Xenopus tropicalis: one gene and its partners. The protein of the gene in region 1 purifies or fractionates together with the protein of each later gene. This does not show direct contact. Links are inferred from orthologs where the notes say so. Each region holds a gene or a part of one and is shown on either strand. Other genes may lie near its edges. The genes, in order: mex3c, ap2a1 and mycbp2.

Region 1 (4,241 bases):
GGAAATTCATGGGTTGGGGGCGAGCGGAGACCATCTGGCCTAGGGGTGCACAATTTAGAAATACAGGCCTGGAGGCATTAGAAAGAGAAAACAATGTACTGCAACTATAGGGATTGTCCAATCCAAAACATACACATTAGGTGGCTAGATTTTAGTTGCCAATTTGGCTCCTTCAGTCTGAGAAGGCAGCTTATCTGCCTGTGTATGGGCCTACCTGACCGAAAATCGACCAGATATCAATCGGGCAGGATTAATAAATGTCGGAGTAATGACCACATTAGTCGTTGATGCAGTCCTCACTCCGACGGCCTGTATCCCTGTCATTGTGATCAGACATTTTGGCCCAAAGGCCAAACATTCACATCAGTCTGGTATTGCTCAACTCAAGGTGGGCCTATCAGGGAAAGAACTCATTTGGCCACATCTCTAAATGAGCAGATCTTTCAATGTATGTCCAGGTTAAACGTGGCCATACATGCTAAGATTCGCTCGCTTGGCGAGCAGATCTTCTCCCGGTATCCCCACCTACGGCGGGATATGCAGTATTATACATGGAACTTTTCTGGAAATAACACCAGCATTCCTATATTTTTAGCAATTCTCCCTATTAATAACAATAAGCATCATTCTCACTGGCCAGATTGCGACCCTAATGGGACACTAAGGGATTTGCAGTTCCAATGTATTTTCTGAATAACGTCACTCCTCCATATCATGGGGGGGGGGTGGCTGCAACTTCCTGTTACACATTCGGCAGATTATATTTTATTAGTAATATGATTATTAATCGAGACAATCGATATCCTTTCACACTTCCCAGAACAAACATGATATCACTTTTCCCGCCCATATCCTCTCGGTTTTAGTTTTAGCACGGTGACGCAATAACCCCGCCCACTCAATCCCAGACTTCCTCTTCCCTTTCCAGGCTAAGGGTGCGCCTCCTTTCCTTATAGCCATCTGCTAGCGAAACCCTCTGCCGCGCCAACCAATCAGGGAACAGTATTATTCATTCGCTCATCGCGCCAACCAATCAGAGGACAGTATTATCCATTCGCTCATCGCGCCAACCAATCAGCTTCTTCCTCAGGCTCTGGGCCGGGAAATAGGGGTGTGTCCGAACGAGTCAGGGGAAACAAAGAGAGTAATAAGGGGAGAAAAAAAGGCGAGCGGCCGGGCCCCTGTGCTGCGGAAATTAGCGGGGCCGGTGCGGCAGGGTACGATTTCCGAGCAGCGGGGCTGCGGCAGGATGAGTGTCCGGGGGAAGAGGCGCCACTGACCGCCTGAGCTCTTTGTGCCGAGAGCAGGAGGGCACCATGCCGGGAGGAGCCTCCTGGAGAGCCGGGGCCGAGCTGCTGCTGCTGGAGCCTGAGGAGATGAGGCTGAGGCTGGCCGCGCTGAGCCTGGAGGAGGAGGAGGAGGAGAGGCCCGGGGAGGAAGTTGCGGAGGACGCGGCGGCCCTGCTGATGGGCGGTGCGGGGTGTCAGGCAGGCTTCCCCCCGGGCAGTGCGGAGCAGGCGGGCCGCAGGAAGAGCGTCAATACCAATGAACTGGTGCCTGTGCCCAGCTCTGAGCATGTGGCCGAGATTGTGGGCCGGCAGGGTGAGTATCCGGGGGCAATGGGGCTACAGTGGCTGCTCGCCCATGGGGGGGGGGGGGTAATGGGGCTACAGTGGCTGCTCGCCCATGGGGGGGGGGTAATAGGGCTACAGTGGCTGCTCACAGGCTGCTGGCCCATGGGGGGGTAATGGGGCTACAGTGGCTGCTGGCCCATGGGGGGGGTAATGGGGCTACAGTGGCTGCTGGCCCATGGGGGGGGTTATGGGGCTACAATGGCTGCTGGCCCATGGGGGGGGCAATGGGGCTACAGTGGCTGCTCGCCCATGGGGGGGGGGGTAATAGGGCTACAGTGGCTGCTCACAGGCTGCTGGCCCATGGGGGGGTAATGGGGCTACAGTGGCTGCTGGCCCATGGGGGGGTAATGGGGCTACAGTGGCTGCTGGCCCATGGGGGGGGGTTATGGGGCTACAATGGCTGCTGGCCCATGGGGGGGGGGGCAATGGGGCTACAGTGGCTGCTCACAGGCTGCTGGCCCATGGGGGGGGGGGGGGCAATGGGGCTACAGTGGCTGCTCACAGGCTGCTGGCCCATGGGGGGGTAATGGGGCTACAGTGGCTGCTGGCCCATGGGGGGGGTAATGGGGCTACAGTGGCTGCTGGCCCATGGGGGGGGTAATGGGGCTACAATGGCTGCTGGCCCATGGGGGGGGGGGCAATGGGGCTACAGTGGCTGCTGGCCCATGGGGGGGTAATGGGGCTACAGTGGCTGCTGGCCCATGGGGGGGGCAATGGGGCTACAGTGGCTGCTCACAGGCTGCTGGCCCATGGGGGGGGGCAATGGGGCTACAGTGGCTGCTCACAGGCTGCTGGCCCATGGGGGGGCAATGGGGCTACAATGGCTGCTCACAGGCTGCTGGCCCATGGGGGGGGTAATGGGGCTACAGTGGCTGCTCACAGGCTGCTGGCCCATGGGGGGGGGTAATGAGGCTACAGTGGCTGCTCACAGGCTGCTGGCCCATGGGGGGGGGGGGGGTAATGGGGCTACAGTGGCTGCTGGCCCATGGGGGGGTAATGGGGCTACAATGGCTGCTCACAGGCTGCTGGCCCATGGGGGGGGGGGGGGGTCAGGAGACTGGGAAAGCAAACCCTGGGCCCAAGAGCTCACTCTTCTACAGGGGATACAAGTACATGTTTGACTCCCTGGTCGGTGGGTGTTTATGGGTTACCCACAGTTCCACATTGGCTAGTGATGGGGGGGGTCCCCCTGGCCAAGGGCATCAGTGGCTAATGATGGGCAGGCCCCCCTGGGAGTCACCTGGCTAATTCCCAGCTGTAGGGGCCACATACAGACCCCCAAGTGAGTGGGCACCTATGGTTAATGATGGGCAGGCCCCCCCGGGAGTCACATGCCTAGTTCCCAGTTGTGGGGGCCACATATTTACAGACCCCCAGGTGAGTGGACACCTGTGGCTAAGGAGTGGGTGCGAGTCTCTAACAGTGGGTCGGTGTCACAGGAGACTTTCCCCCTACTGAGTGGGTGCCAGTTGCTAATAATGGGTCGGTGTTATGGGAGACGGTCCCCCTGCTGAGTGGGTGCCAGTTGCTAATAATGGGTGGGTGTTACAGGAGACTGTCCCCCTACTGAGTGGGTGCTGGTTGCTAATAATGGGTGGGTGTTACAGGAGACTGTCCCCCTACTGAGTGGGTGCCGGTTGCTAATAATGGGTGGGTGTCACAGGAAACTGTCCCCCTACTGAGTGGGTGCCGGTTGCTAATAATGGGTGGGTGTCACAGGAAACTGTCCCCCTACTGAGTGGGTGCCAGTTGCTAATAATGGGTGCCCCTGGGGAGGTTACATGCATAATACACGGCTCGTATGCCTGATGGTTATAGGGAGTTGCTGTTCAGTGAAAAAGAGCCTAAAGCATAAATAGCGCTTGTGAGTGGGCACTTACCCTCATGGCTGTGCCTGGTGGGCGGGGCTTAGAGCTGTTTACCAGTAGTTACTTTGATAATGGTCCCTGAGTGTATATCTGGGGGTGGGGCTTAGTGTTGTTAATGAAGGGGAACATAGAACCACTAGCTTTCTAGGATTTTGACCGTGCAGACTGTCTGGGTATGTATTCCAGTGTAAGATGGGCTTTGATTGGCTATGATTCTCTGTCCATTCACTATACCGGCCATGAGCTGCTGCAGCTCCTCTTCTCTTCCTAAAGTTCTGATGATCTGGCTCAAATACACAGAACAATACACCTGTATGGCCGCTGGTACAGTACCCATCCTTTCATCCTGCGGGTCATGTGTTTACGTATTGTGGGGGATTGGGCAGTATCTGGCCAACTTCACAGTGAAACGGTCACCCCATTAATAGCCCCCCATAGTGCAGTTACCATGTTGCTGAGCTAATGGCGCATATAGCATTTGCTGAACTGGCAGGGAAATGCCCACCACAGCCCAAGCACCCTGCTATGGATGTAAGGATTTGGGGCATAGGAGCAGACACTTTAACCCTGCCCTTAGCCTCAGCACTGTGGTATTTGGGTTGATAGGGGCCAGCTGACCATATGAAGAGGCAGTTGAGTTTCTTTGAACCTCTGGGCTTTGGCTGCCTGAAGCCCATTCACACAAGCGTGGCAATGCACGCACACACCAGGTGGAGTTAGCACGTGGGTGTAAGGACCG
Region 2 (3,651 bases), on another chromosome or scaffold:
TAAGCGTTTTATGCCTCTCGTTTTCAGGGATTTTGTGTTATATCAGCTTCCCCATTTAGTGAATGTTATGTTTGGCCTTTTAGCATCTGTTGGTTTTATTCAATATTATTTCATTGTTTTGGGGTTGTGGCTTGATAGATCCAGTCTGTACTGACACGGGAGGGACACAGATGAAAATGAGAATTTCTCTTACCTTCTTGCCGTAAATTCCATTTCTTCTGGTTCCAACATGTCACTACAGGGTTTCCCATCCCAATTTATTTGTTTCCTGTAATGTATAAGAGTGGTGAAGAGGAAGTCAGGTGGTCTTGTAGGCCAGGATTCGTTTTGATTGGCTATGTTATAGGCCCTACCTCCAAGTCTTGGGGGGGAAGCAATACTGCCCATCTGTACTGACCTGTTGGGACTAGAAGAAATGTAAGAAGCGAAACTCTCATTATTGGGCACCTCGTTTAGTGACATTATATAAGGAAAGACAATTAGTAACCTACATAAGTATCCTGCACCTTGCTGCATATTATAGCTAAGCAGGATCGGTTAAGCAATTACAGCGCTTCTGTGTTTGTCAATAATTCAGTTCCTATAAGAAAAAAGGCTCAGTGCCAGGCCAGCAGAATTGAATCTTACTAATAAGAATCTGTATTCAGCGCATCTCTAGGCAATTCATTTAACTTCTCAGGCTTTGCAGGAACGTTGATTTATTTATTTTAAAATACATGATTTGCTTCTTTGGCAGGGACACCATGGACAGTGTAAAGCAGAGTGCGGCCCTTTGCTTACTGAGGTTATACAAAACTTCCCCAGACCTTGTACCTATGGGGGAATGGACATCGCGAGTCGTTCACCTTCTAAATGATCAACACATGGTATGTGTCTCCCATAGATAATTGTCAGGTGTAATACCAGTCTAGAGAATTGAAGCCTCAGATTCTATGGGCGACAAAGGTTCATATTGCTTGGGCATACGAGTAGCTGCTACTTTTAGCTGTTATGGTTTTATTCTTTCTATCTCTGTACAAACTCCCAATTGTCTTTGCATCTTAGGGCAGCCTATAAGGTACTAAAATGGAGAACTTACAGTGATGTGTGTTGCCCACATAGCAGATTACCTTGCAGTTCAGATGAGAAACACATACATAGCTTTACAGCACTGCTCCATGAGTGCTCTTAGGTTCATTGTTCAGATGAGCAACACTGCGGCTGCGGGTCACTGGTGTGTTACAATACATTGCTGTGTACCTTGAGTTTGGCCGGATGCCCAGAACTGCTATTATGCCCATTATCCCTATAATTAAATAACATATCAAGTTACAAGGGGTGAGCGACTCGCTACTGAACATATTAGGGCTAATACAGAAACTATAATAATATATGGTGTTTGTATTGTGTGTGTATATTTATAAAGCCTTTAAAAATGAATTTATATAATATTTTTATACCTGAGCTGCCGTAAGTTAAGTGTGCAGTGTTGTGATGGGATTGTGATGGATCTCTGTTGTGCTCCATCCATCATTCACTAACGGACGCATTGCTCTTTGTTCCAGGGAGTGGTGACAGCCGCTGTCAGTCTGATCACCTGCCTCTGTCGCAAAAACCCAGATGACTTCAAGACCTGCGTCTCACTGGCGGTATCACGTCTAAGCCGGGTAAAGTTTCCTTCTACAGTTAATTCTTACTGGCGGTGGCAATGTTTCATTCTATAAGTGCCTATATGTTATCTATTTCTCACCTCTACAGATTGTCTCATCAGCCTCCACAGACCTGCAGGACTATACATATTACTTTGTGCCGGCTCCCTGGCTCTCTGTAAAACTGCTGCGCCTTCTCCAGTGCTACCCACCTCCAGGTAACTCTCCGTGCAGTCTTCCTGCATCCCCCATAATAGCCATAGGGCGCTCCCTCTCTCTGACTTGTCTGTGTGCCTGTTGTTTCAGAGGATGCTGCTGTGAAGGGGCGCCTGGTGGAGTGTCTTGAAACTATCCTAAACAAAGCACAGGAGCCTCCCAAATCAAAGAAAGTGCAACATTCCAATGCAAAAAATGCGATACTGTTTGAGGCCATTAGCCTAATTATTCACTATGACAGGTAGGTTATATACTGATACACAGAAAGCTTCTCTATACAGGCCTTCTGTACTATGTGCACGTAGAGGAATTAGATGATGTCTAACATAATGTCTACTGATTAATGGCATTTTGGGTGCCTTGAAACACTTTGAACTTCACTTTACTTTTTTTTTAAGATTCCAAGATATTAAGGGAAATATGTTCTATGAATTTTGTTATAACAGCACCACCTGCTGCTCAGATCCAGTTGAGGAAGTTGTCAGGGGAAAGAAAGAGGGCTAAGCTGATGTTCTTCTGGTTAGGAAAAGCATTAGAAACCTCAGATACTTTTCTCACATCTTTCCTAAACAGAGAAACCTCCCTATTTCTTTCTTCCGACTAGATTCTTGACTAGTCAGTCGGAAACTTACCAGCGGCTGGGTCTGTTGCAACAAAATTAGTTTATATTCATAATACTTATTTCCATTAATATCTTCAAAATCTTAAAAACAATTAATGAATGTAAATGACAAAAGTGCTTAGAAAAGCACCTGTTGAATGTTGCATTCACTTATCCTGAACCCTAGACCATTTCCCTCATTGTTATTTGCAGTGCAAGCTGGTGTGTATGGAACAGTTTCAGTGTTGTTGTGCTACCTCGTACTGTTTCGGCAAAGGGAGAGTTAAGAGTTTCTTCCCTAAATGCAGACCCACAAGTTAAAGTTTTTGCCCCTGAGCAATGCGTAAAATACTGCAGCTTTGGAAAGCCGCTTTAGTGGCGAAAGAGCTATTGTCACTTTTTATGCTTGCAAGGAGGAATTTGTTTCCTGCTACTCCTCCCATTATTTCTGTTTCCTGTCTGGCAAACAGAAAGACTCTTGTCTTGCTTAATGACAGGGATTATGATGACTAAATATTTGTTTGTTATCAGTAGTGCAAGACAAAGTAGACTCAATTACCCTATATCCAAAATGCTCATTAACATTTACTACATCGCTGCTTGTAGATGGCTCTGGCACAGTGAATGTGAAAGATTGGAAAGCTTAGCTGAGTTGGCTTACAGGGCACACGTTTAAATAGGATATGATAGATTGGCTAGAGTATAATTCAGTAGTTATTATTGTTGCACAGAAAGATGAACAACGTCATTCACGGCTCACTATACAATCAAAACCTGTCTCGTATAAAATGGTGCACAGAAACCAAAATGTTGCGATTCTGTAAAAATAAAGTGTATTTATGCGATACCTGTAACCTCAGTCTGCATTGTACACCCCTGTAAAACCACAAAACAACACTTTTACCAGTCTGTAGCTGCCCTTAAGAGACCTGGATACAGTGTTGGACTGGGGTGTCCAAGGCCCACCCGGCCTGCCACCCCAAAGGCACCCTATCCCAGTTGCCAGTTCCTTCACCACCACCAGCTTCCACTCCACGAACACTTCTTACCCCCTACTACCTCCTTTTGCCCACAATCGGGGTGAGGGTAGAGTGCCAAAAGCTCCTTCCGGGGCTCGGGCTGGTGTCATAGGGCCAAAAGATCAAATTAGCCTGATATCACCTACCTTAGGTGGACATATTGCTTGGCAACCTCGCCTAATGAAAG
Region 3 (3,651 bases), on another chromosome or scaffold:
GACTTTGTTTTTGTAGACACATTCTAATAACCCCGTTATTTGTTTGCATTTGTACCTCTGAGTAAAATACAAAGAAATAATGGGGTTATTAGAATGTTGGGTGGAGAAGAGGATGGTTATGCGAAGGGAACAAGGACATTCTTTGACAAGGCAATAGCTGCATGAAGATTTAATAGACATCATTCAAATTGATAGAAGTTATTGGAGACTTGTGTAACAGGATACTATCAATTTGGCTGATGTCTATTGGATCTACATGCAGATACTACCTTATCAAAGAATGCCCCAGTCTCATAACCATTCTGCTAATAAATAAATCCAACAGGACTGCTTTGGCACAAATATGGATTCGTGCAGTTAGTCACAATTAAGTGCAAGGTATTGTTTAATGATTACAGAGGAAAAAGGTAAATTTAAAAAAAATTATTTAAGAAAAATGGATTGTGTGGTTAATCAAAGAGCAAATCTGAGCACTGGGTTTATAGGAACGACAGACAAAAAGCCAGTCAGTTGAGCAGTGTGTACAAAAAACAAACATGAGAATGTGGAATAGATATGTTATAAACAAATAAAATAATGTAAATTTGACTGCAAACCTTCTCCCGAACAGCCACTTGTTTTTCTCGAAGATATTTTTCTCGACAGCGATCACAGACCAAATACCAAGTGCTTCCTCCAATTCCCCCATCCCCACAGTTTCCTGCCCATCCACCACAAAAGTGACCAATGCTGTTATAGCCTTGTCCTCCCGCATATCTTCCACAACCTACACACAATGTCACCGGGTAAGGTGAAAAACAAACACAGAAACATTTAAAATAATTCACATTTCTTTGAACAAATGCTAAACATAACTTTGTAGTGATTAGGTTACCATAGCTTTAGAACATATTTACAAACATGCATGTTACAATGCGACTAATGAAGACTGTGAGTAAATATTAAATGTAGGATTATGTAAGATATGCACTGCAACATAAAGAAATGTGGAAATATGGCTACAGAAAATATTTTGTTGCATAAATGTTACTCTAGTCTAATTTCGTTTTCAGCTTACCTGGATGTGCTTGCCGCATGTGATATGTCACCGGATAAGGGTGAGACTCTCCACACAGCTCACAGATGGTATCTTTTTCTGGTCCTCCTACAGCAAGCTGTGCCATTTCGCCAAACAAATTACCACGGGGTCTGGACTCTGCCTTTTCTTTTTTCTTTTTCTCCTTTTTTGCCTTTTTGTTATCTTTGTCACCGTCTTTCTTTTTTAGCACAGCACAAGAACCAGGGCTTGGGAAAATCATGTTCTGTGATGCAGCTTTTATGGTGGCCAATGAAATGTCTTCCCAAAAAGCCACAAGGTGTTGCAGTGTTAAGGGAAGGGGGGATTTTGTCTTAACAGAATGCTGACTGGGTAAGTCAAAAGCAGAAGTTTCATGTTTGCCATCCTCATATTTTTCATGGAGTGGTGGCTCTTTTAGCATTGATAACACTTTGTTTTTGTTGATACTGCCCATTTTTGAAATATCTGGTCCATGTGGGGCAATGTGAAACATGTTTAGTGCAGAAGAAATTTCTATTGAGTGTCTGTTTTTTAATTTAACCTCCTTTTCTTCTGAGGGTTGTTGATTGTTAAGACTGCATCTTATGGGTGCGTGTTCTTTGGAAAGATCTGGATTAAATTTAAGAAAGGAAGAGCAAGCCATTGCATCATGAACTATACCTTCATGCCAAAGAAAAGCTGCAAACACAGCCCGTGCACATTCAGCCACAGATGGGGACATTGCTTCCTTTGCTGGCTCAATAGACTTTGAGGATTCTCCCTTGAAAAAAAAGTTTGATTTTTCTTTTTTAGGCCGAACATGCCTACTCGTACTTTTGCGGCTAATTTTAGGAGATGCTCTTGTATCTTGCTCTTCTTTAAGCGGTGCCTTTCCTATGCTAAAATGGACTTTACTTGAGCCATCATCAACACTCTTTACCTCTGCATTATCCTCACATGTACTGTCTGTAATACTGTTTGTTTTTAAAGTACTGGATGAGCAAACTTCAACAACTTCACTGTGAAGGTTTTCTTGAACCACATGTGGAGAGGGTGCCCTGTTTTCACTACCGCCTGCAGGTTTGGCATCTTTTGGAATAATTTTTGGTTTAGGTGAAGTGGACCTTCCCCTTAAGGGTTCCGTTAAAGGGACTTTCTTTTTACGTAATGTATCTGGATCAAGCGTGTAAGAGTCTGACTTAGATCTTTCCCGAGGAGGCTCAAGCTTGGACTTGCTAGGACCAGATGTTTTTTGAGGTAGGCTTTTCTCTTGTGGAGATGCAGAGCGTGGAGAGCTTGCACCAGATGTATTCGGCTTTCCAGCAGGCACAGTTTTTGGCTTTGGTGAAGAGGAACGTGAGCCAGGTCCTGGTGATTCAGCTCTAAGACCAGAATTCACTTTACCATCTGTCTTTAGGATTTGCAGAGTGTTGTGGTTGGGAGATGAAGATCTGCTGTGAGAGTCTGATCTCAGCTTTGCAGCATCAGACTTCAGTAAGAGAGATTCACTTGCAGTAAGGCCTTCGTTATTTTTGGGTTTCTTCTGATCAGCATTAGAGCGGCTTATTCGTCCGTCAGGCTTTGGAGATTTGCTCTCAACTCGGTTTTTTGATGGCAAATCTGATTTGTTCACTGCAGATGTAGTTTTCGCAAAGTGCCCTTTGTCATCTGAAGAGAGATCACAAAAAAGTGAAATCATTATCTCAACTTCTCATATATCATTAATTACATTGGAATACTTTATGTGCCATTTGTATGTGGAAAAAAAAGGGGGGAACTAAAAATATTTTCTAAAACGAAGACTGAAACACAGCAAGCACAAAATGACAATATGGGGATCTAGTAAAAAAAAATTTCATCTTAATGACCGCACCAGATAAGACCTAAAGGACATTTTGCTATGAAGTGCATTAAGAATCAGTAAAAAAAAACAATTATAACATTCCATGTTTAGAAAGAATAACAAAAAACACCCATAACACGATATCCCTTTCCATTGTCAATTTTTTCAATTCAAGAACCGCTTGGAGATTCTGACTTCTGGTCAATTGTCATAGGTTAAATAAAGAGCCAAAAATGGCTCAAAAGGTTGCTGTTGCCCCTGGATGTAGAAATAAAGGCTTTTTAATCTTATTATGGAATGCTGCTTATAATCAGCTGTGTTAATCACAATAGGTCAAGGAATATATAAATACGTGTTTAAAATCCCAGAATTCCAGTGTCCCTGCGGTCACAACGGAGCAGGGCTGATGCAATTGCAATGGATTCAACAGAAGTACTACAACTGTGCTCCAATGCAGTTGCAAATTGGATGTAATGGTTTGCCTGGTATCATTTCCAGTGTTTGCTGTTCAAGTGAAGTTTATGCCCGATTCTTTAGATGCAAGCGTGCTGCACCAATTGAAGACTAAGGGAACACCTGGTTTTATGCACAACTGACTGCAGGGAAATTGCTGGGACTGTAACTGTACTTGAGGACATACATGAGCCCTCATGTCTCATGCAACATACAACTCTATTCCCTATTGGCAGCAGTGGACCAAGACAGACCCATCTTTAGGGTTCCAGTGTTACAGATGAAGTAGGGTTATAGATTATAACTATTACTAACAACA

The links.
Region 2: the proteins of mex3c (region 1) and ap2a1 purify together in Homo sapiens (affinity purification with mass spectrometry; 3 studies listed by BioGRID, with this or other methods). This does not show direct contact. The link is inferred for Xenopus tropicalis from reciprocal best matches to the Homo sapiens genes MEX3C and AP2A1.
Region 3: the proteins of mex3c (region 1) and mycbp2 purify together in Homo sapiens (affinity purification with mass spectrometry; 3 studies listed by BioGRID and IntAct, with this or other methods). This does not show direct contact. The link is inferred for Xenopus tropicalis from reciprocal best matches to the Homo sapiens genes MEX3C and MYCBP2.

Annotation. Positions count from the first base shown.
Region 1 is NC_030677.2:204,603,944-204,608,184, forward strand, and holds the start of mex3c (RNA-binding E3 ubiquitin-protein ligase MEX3C), read left to right. Parts: upstream 1-1,290; 5' UTR 1,291-1,316; coding exon 1,317-1,602; intron 1,603-4,241. UniProt on the Homo sapiens protein: E3 ubiquitin ligase responsible for the post-transcriptional regulation of common HLA-A allotypes. Binds to the 3' UTR of HLA-A2 mRNA, and regulates its levels by promoting mRNA decay.
Region 2 is NC_030683.2:117,153,724-117,157,374, forward strand, and holds part of ap2a1 (AP-2 complex subunit alpha-1), read left to right. Parts: intron 1-736; coding exon 737-866; intron 867-1,544; coding exon 1,545-1,646; intron 1,647-1,737; coding exon 1,738-1,846; intron 1,847-1,934; coding exon 1,935-2,085; intron 2,086-3,651.
Region 3 is NC_030678.2:126,183,614-126,187,264, reverse strand, and holds part of mycbp2 (E3 ubiquitin-protein ligase MYCBP2), read right to left. Parts: intron 2,705-3,651; coding exon 1,058-2,704; intron 767-1,057; coding exon 597-766; intron 1-596. UniProt on the Homo sapiens protein: Atypical E3 ubiquitin-protein ligase which specifically mediates ubiquitination of threonine and serine residues on target proteins, instead of ubiquitinating lysine residues.